Linked DNA regions of Caenorhabditis elegans. The protein of the gene in region 1 interacts with the protein of each later gene in a pairwise test. Each region holds a gene or a part of one and is shown on either strand. Other genes may lie near its edges. The genes, in order: puf-3 and cyb-2.1.

Region 1 (3,600 bases):
TGAAAAAGCGCGCCGCGGGTTTGCAAAACGACGCTCGTTTTTTTTTTAAATTAGACAGTACTTTTTTTTACAAAAATATTATAGATTTTACAACTAAAAAAATTCCAGCTTGACATTGATTATGTGGTTGGACCATTGTCATTTTGGATGCAACAATTCTCTACAAAATCTCCCGTTTCTGGCACTGGACCACAATTACCATAAATAAAATATAATAAAATACTTGTAATTTCAATATATATTCACTCTTGTCTGTATCTTTTTTTTTTTGCTCCTAAACCCACATGTTTCCTATCTATTTACTTCATTTTAGTCATGAAACCTTGTTAAACAATTTGCTATATTTTAAGGTTTTCATGTAGATTTGTAGGTTTCCCACACCCAACAAGAAATCTGATTTTTATTTTTTGGAAAAAAAAATGTACAATTAAATTGAATAAAGAAAGTTGAAGAAGTCGGCGTACACGATGCTCTCCTCTTTTGTGAGCTCTGTCAGGATTGTGAAATGATCTTCATTTTCGTATTCCTGAAACAAAAATGGTCTCGACGCGACAAATTTTTGCTGATTGCGAAAATACGTGCGCCTTTAAAAAAAGACTACTGTAATTTTCTCGAAATTTCATAGATTTTTGTTGTTTCCTCGTGTTTTATCATCCAGACGTGAGATTTTATGGGGTTTGCGTCAAAAATACCATACATGGTCTCGACACGACGAATATGAAAAGGTGTGCGCCTTTAAAGAGTACTGTACTTTTGAAATTTGGTTTTTGCGGAATTTTAAATAATCTATTTTCTTAAGAATGTGTTTTTATCGTAATATATGAGTTTTCCAAATAAAATAAATATATTTTTAAATCTACAGTAATCTTTAAAGGCGCATATATCTGTTCTCATTTAGCAAAAATCTATCGTGTCGAGACCAGGTAACGTGGTTTTGGCGTGAAACTCGTTAAAAAAATATTTTAAAAATCGTGCCAAGACCCTAAAACGGGGTTTTTTTTTCGGTCCAAAATAGCTCAAACCTTGTACTGAGCATTTGCAACTTGACTAGAAAAATCCTGATTTTGTTGGTACAACTTTGGGGATTCCCGTCTGCAACATGCGATTAACACCGGGAACCGGACATGCTTCATAAGCTCATAATCACAACTACAAGTTTCTGCTTCTTCTGAAGTCAACCCAAGATCGTGACCATAAGTCGTGGAAGTCAGTTCTTGAATTTTGTAGATGCCCGCGCTGAGGTAGGCACCACTGATTCGGGGGTCATGGATCCGTGTTACAGCTGGAAATATTTTTTTCTTTGATTTAACAAAAAAAAAGCGCTATTTTTTTGCACAGAGTGAGAATACAAGAACTTTTCATAAATTTTATTCCTGGTATGCAAAATTTATCAATCGTGGCGAGACCCATCGGCGCAGCGTCGACATGCGCCTTTAAATTCTACAGTACTTTATTTCGTTTTTGCGCGGGAAATTTTGGATTTTTTATTTTAACGCGGGATTTTTTGCATTTTGGTTCCTGATTTCTTCATTTTTGTTCATTTTTTGTCTTCGAGGACGCGTCCCAAAATTTTGCTCTCTTATTTTCATTAATTCTATCGTATTTTCCACTTATTCCGTCCATTCAAACGTCGATGTCTTCCAAAAAAATAAATTTTCAGGTAGTCTCCGTACCAATATGAGTCAAAACACCGGTTCCTCTAACCTCGGTCGCTACTACGAGAGCCCGCCAACGGCGACGGAGGCTCGTGGCACATTCGGTGGTTGCTTCAACGCCAACAGCTCCACCAACATTTGGACGCCGAATCGGAAAGTGGACTCTTCGATGGGATTTCGGAGCTCCTCACCGACACCACAGAGCGCTTGGGCTCCGAATCGTCAAGGATTTGGAGGACAATTCTCCAAATGGCGCACTTCTACACCGATGACGACTCCGGCTCGTTATCCTCAACAGGCCGTTAGACTTATCGATTTGGAGAACAACGCCTCGTTCTCGAAGTCTTTGAAGTGAGTTTAGAGTTTTCCAGTGACTTGGAGCCTCAATTTTTAAAACTTTCAAAAAAATAATCAAATTTTCAGCTCGACCACCCGCAGCCACAAATGCACACTTCCAATCTGGGCTGGCGACGGCGAGGGAAATGTCTCGGACTCGGTCACTCTTCAGGATGTGCTCGCCAACGATGCTCTCGTGGAATTTGCCACCGATAAGAATGGATGCCGATTCCTTCAGGAGCATTATCCAACGGAGAACGACAACGACGTCCACCAAAAACTCTTCCGTAAACTGGTCGAGGATCGTGCCATCTTCTTGTCGCTCTGCTCTAACATGTTTGGCAACTTCTTTGTGCAACGTGTCTTGGAGTGCTCGAACACTGAGGAGCAGGAGATTCTTACGGAGCACTTGGCTACTGATTTGTACAATCTCTGCCTTGACAAGAGTGCGTGCCGCGTCATTCAACTGGCTATTCAGAAGCTTGATGTTCATCTTGCGACTCGTTTGTCGTTGGAGCTCCGTGACACGCACCTCGTCCGTCTCAGCATCGATCAAAACGGAAACCACGTGATTCAGAAGATTGTCAAGACGCTTCCAGTCTCTTCGTGGACTTTCCTCGTGGATTTCTTCGCCGACGACGACAATCTCATCCACGTTTGCCAGGACAAATATGGGTGCCGTGTCATTCAATCGACCGTCGAAACTTTGTCGACTGATCAATATGCTCAGTGCTACCAGCATCGTGTCATTCTTCTTCGCAGTTTGATGGCTGGAGTCACTCGTAACTGCACCCAGCTGGCTTCCAACGAGTTTGCGAACTACGTGGTACAACACGTTATCAAGTGTGGAGATGCGTTGGCTGTCTACAGAGATATCATCATTGAGCAGTGCCTTCTGTATGTTTTATATAGTCAAATTTTCAAATGTATTTTTCCATTTCCAGGCAAAATTTGCTCTCAATGTCACAGGAGAAGTACGCTAGCCACGTGGTCGAAGTGGCGTTTGAATGTGCTCCATATCGCCTCGTTGCCGAGATGATGAACGAGATCTTCGAAGGATATATTCCACATCCGGATACAAATCGTGATGCTCTCGACATTCTGCTCTTCCATCAATATGGAAACTACGTTGTTCAGCAGATGATCCAGACTTGTGTTCTCGGTCAGAATGCTCGAGATCAAAAGCAATCGGAGATGTACGGCATGTGGCTCGAGAAGATTCACGGACGAGTGATGCGAAACGCCCACCGCCTCGAAAGATTTTCGTCGGGCAAGAAGATTATCGAAGCGCTCCAATCAATGTCCTTGTACTAGATACACATAGGCAATTTTTATTCATTTCCATTTGAATCCTAACCCCCACCATCACCCAACTCACGTGTATACTATTATTATTTTTATTATTATATTGCTAGAAAATTGTAGAAAGAGTATTGCAACCTCTTCTATATTATATGAAGACCCCGGCCCCCGTTTTGCACAATAATTGATATAAATTCTGTGAATAAAGAATTTACAAACTTCCAGATTTAATTGCAATATTTTGTTTAATTATTACCTTGAAATGCGAGGTGTGCTCCGACTGAGTGTCCTCCAATCACAATTTTCT
Region 2 (4,142 bases), 2.5 Mb from region 1:
AATCTCGTGATAAGGAAAACATCTAGTAAACTTGAAGTGCTCTGCCAACTGTTGAGTGTCCTGATGATTCCATTAAGCTAGTTAAAGCGTAAATTTTAATCTCAATCCGAAGACGTTTGTGCAGTATGTTCGGCATTACCTCTATCGTTTAAAATAAATTTATGGTTAACAAAATTCACACATTAACAAACAGGCCCACCCATATCTTGGCATTTTTTCACTAAACAACCACATACAGTAACCCAAACATGCTAGTTTTGATTAACTGCTTTTCTAATTCAATCATTTATGAAGCGTTGACCAAATATAATATTACAATAATTCACAAATTGTTCACTTTGTTATGTTTTTAGTTACAGTCCAAAGGTGGCATTTACTCAATCTTTAGTTATCCCTAACTTTGAAATTCAACATGTAATTGTTTTTATATTTTAACTATTTGTATTTGAATTCAAATAATGTAAGGTTAAAACCAGCAGTGCTCGTTTCTCTCAAAAAGTAAATGTTTTTTTTTGAAATTTAGGAAATTTACCAAAACTTTAACGGTAAATTCGAAAAAAACTGAACATTTTTTGAAATATTCATGAACGAATGTCTGGTTTTAATTTTCCAAAGCTGAGAAATTACATTTAAAATTCTATAAAAATTATTCAACTTTATTTTTTTTTTTCAGTTGCCCGTAGAAAAAGCAGTGACACTTGGTCTCATCAAGGCTCAAAATGTCACAAAAGTAGCCCCAATTGGACACGGAAGACCTCCAGCACGGAAACACGAAGAGATATCACGTCGTCATTGATTTTATTGACAATGAAACAAAATAACATTCTCTAGTCGATATAGGAACCCATTTGTCCATCCTATTTGTATCATATTGTTTTCTTCACAAAATTTCTGCTAGATTTCTATGAAAATCAGAGAGCTTTCAATTCTTCTCCACTTTTTCTATTTTGTGTGTACATGTCGTTCCTAAACCATTTTCCCTTTCCCATCCCACACTTTCCATGCCGCCCGACCACTTTCTCAACTGTCTCCAGGTACTCTGTAAATTTCTGAATTTATTCATCCTGAAAAACTCTTTCTATATATTTGATGATCACTTTTATTTCTTCTTCATCTCTATACTCTTTGTCTGTGTAAAAATTTTATAATTGTTTTCTTTTCACCATTCACACCCCGGTCTTGTAATAATAAGTGTAGGTTTCAAGAGAGTAATAAAAGTGTATTGAGAATAAAACTTTAATTATATAGAAATCTTAAACACACCCACTTAGAAGTCTTGTTTTTTTTTCTATTTGAAATATATTTGAAATATATTTGAAATATATTTGAAATATTCTTAAAATTTTAAGTGAACCCAGAGAGTAAATTTATTAGTGAACTCAGAGAGTAAATTATTCTGGGAACACATAGATTAAAAAATTCGTTACCCCCCCCCCCCCCTACTATTTTTCGCGAAAATTTCCTCGTTCCCCCGCTTACAATTTTTTTTTCCAAAAAAATTCCTCGTTACCCCCCTTACAGATTTTTTTCAAAAAAAATCCTCGTTACTCTCTTTACGATTTTTTTTCCAAAAAATTCCTCGTTACCCCTTCTAAAATAGTACTGTAACGAAGCACTGTAATATTGGACCTAGAATGGAAACTTTAGAGCTAGTGAACTGCCAGAGTCACTATGTTTGGTGAACTGCCAGAGTCACAATTTTTGGTGAACAACCAGAGTCACTATTTTTAGTGAACTGCCAGAGTCACTATTTTTAGTGAACTGCCAGAGTCACTATTTTTGGTGAACTGCCAGAGTCGCTATGAAATATTGAAAACTGTCATCTTTTTTTTTTTGAAATTCAAAGCAGCGACTTATACACTGTAAAAAATAATATGAAAATTTGAAGAAGTTCTGTCCATTTTAAATTTATTGATAATCTAGACTTGAAATTCTAACCCGCTACAGTAAACCACCACACCTGCACATCATACCTGAAAAAAAGTTTTTTTTTCTGGCGCGCGCGCAGCACAATTTGTATTCTGTTTTTTGTGTGTGGCTCCTTTTTCATTTTCCTAAATTTTTGGCGTTTCAAAACCAATTTATCTATTTTTCCTGATAGTTGCAATTTGCCTATATTTTGTTAAATACTAATTCTTCCTTCATATATTTTTATCTAAAGTTTTGTATAATACTTTTTTTAAGACTAATTTTTTCAGCCGGAGGTCTCGATAAAATGTTGCGAGTTACTACAAGCATTAGAAAAACCACGAAAAATGCCGTTGGGCCAAGAACAAACCTGGAGGAAGTGTTGAATTGTATCGCTATGGCTGAAGACATTTACAACTACCTTGTTCATCACGAGAAGAAATATGTTCTTGACGACAGCTTCATAAATGGAGGAAATGTTAATTCTAAGATGCGCCGCATCCTTGTTGACTGGCTTATCCAAGTTCATCTTCGCTTCCACCTCACCCCTGAGACGCTTCACCTGACGATTTTCGTTCTGGATCGAATTATCGTGAAGAACATTGTCTCCAAGGCGGAATTCCAGCTTCTCGGTGTTGCAGCTTTGTAAGATCGTTTTTTTTGTAAAATTATAGATAATCTTTTGTAGATCAGAAAATTAACAATAGTTTTTATGCAATATTAATGATTTCAGGTTCGTTGCCTCCAAATTCGAAGATATTTACTTGCCAGACATCCTCGAATACGAGATGATCACTGATAACACATTCAGCAAGAAGCAGATAATGGCTATGGAACAGACCATCCTCAACGCCTTGAACTTTGACTTGTCCTGCCCATCTTCGCTTGTCTTCCTCCGCTGTATTTCAAAAACTCTCACAGAGAATGACGTCAATCCAATCGATAAGGAAGCGTTCTATTATGTGCACAATATCTCCAAGTGTCTCGGAGAACTCGCATTGCTCGATTCGGTCATGTCTACGGTTCCAAGGTCGCACGTTGCCAGTGCTTCGATGATCATCACTCTCAATGTTATCACCGTTGATGGAATTAATCCGAAGACTGCTGCATCGATGATTCGGTAGATTCAATTTTTTTCGAAAATTTTACAAGAATTTGTTTCAGCAAACAATTAGGAGCCTCCAAGCAAGATATTTATGATGCTATCGCTCTGCTCGCTCAAGTCGCATATAAAAACTTCAGACATCAGAAGCTTTGCGCCATTAGAGTAATATATTTTTACAAAATGTTTACTCAGTTTTGTTTTCAGGAAAAGTACCAGTCGAGCAAGTTTGGACGAGTATCCTACTTGATGACCGACGAAATCTTGGAGAAAATTCACCGGATGGGGCGCAACGTTGAGGCTTCAGAAGCTGAAACATCAGAAATGGAATGAGAACTATACTTCATCACCCAATACGTTCCTGTGTTCTGCTTGTTTCCCCATTGCACTTACCTTCGGCTTATATTCATGTACTTTTTCTGTTCCATTTCCCCAATCTTCGAAATCTCTAACACATCGTATCAAATCTTTTTCGCACCTTCTTTTGTATCTATCTCATACTAACTTATTTAGTCTTCACTCCTGTCCAAATCTGATATTTTAACTAGAATGAGCAAAAACTTGCTGATGAAATCTATGTGCTATTAAATAATGTTAAATGAAATAAGCATAAATCTTGTACTAAATTGTAGAAATTTACAACATTATTAAAACAACCAGATACAAGCTAATCTTGCATTAAATAGTTTATTTGCCTTTTTCTAAAAAATTAAAAAATTGGGAAAGTAATATTTTTTGAACAGCGCGCGTTTTCAAAACCGACGGCCACATTAAAAGCCTCTTCCATGCTTCGTGTAATCCGCGAGGACTATCATCATATTTATTTTTAGCACCTGGTGCGTTCCATTTTTTTCCTGAAAATTCGAGTGCTTGCGCAGATTTAAAAAATTTTTACTTAAAAGATGTCTTCATTTTTAAACGCTGAATTTTTATGTGCTTGGTAGTTTTCAAAAAACTAATAAAACTATTCAGCGTTTCTTAAAATCATATCAAGTTCAAAATTTCACTGACTGAGAGTTCCGATCAATAAGTTTTATAAACATCTCATTTTATTTCCTCCTCATAAATAAGTATTAATTAATAATTATTTTGAGTACATTTTCAGGTATCAATGGTGGAGGCACCGGGGACT

Evidence for each region.
Region 2: the proteins of puf-3 (region 1) and cyb-2.1 interact in a two-hybrid assay, tested with the Caenorhabditis elegans proteins (3 studies listed by BioGRID).

What each region holds. Positions count from the first base shown.
Region 1 is NC_003282.8:13,510,223-13,513,822, reverse strand, and holds puf-3 (PUM-HD domain-containing protein), read left to right. Parts: upstream 1-1,660; 5' UTR 1,661-1,677; coding exon 1,678-2,006; intron 2,007-2,078; coding exon 2,079-2,888; intron 2,889-2,935; coding exon 2,936-3,305; 3' UTR 3,306-3,516; downstream 3,517-3,600. Other genes in the region: m7GpppN-mRNA hydrolase dcap-2, read left to right, coding at 109-204; afmd-2 (Alpha/beta hydrolase fold-3 domain-containing protein), read right to left, coding at 428-526, 1,023-1,282, 3,550-3,600.
Region 2 is NC_003282.8:10,983,787-10,987,928, forward strand, and holds cyb-2.1 (G2/mitotic-specific cyclin-B), read left to right. Parts: upstream 1-2,198; 5' UTR 2,199-2,215; coding exon 2,216-2,553; intron 2,554-2,641; coding exon 2,642-3,028; intron 3,029-3,072; coding exon 3,073-3,175; intron 3,176-3,217; coding exon 3,218-3,343; 3' UTR 3,344-3,640; downstream 3,641-4,142. Other genes in the region: Y43E12A.2 (3CxxC-type domain-containing protein), read left to right, coding at 674-796; Y43E12A.3 (BTB domain-containing protein), read left to right, coding at 4,122-4,142.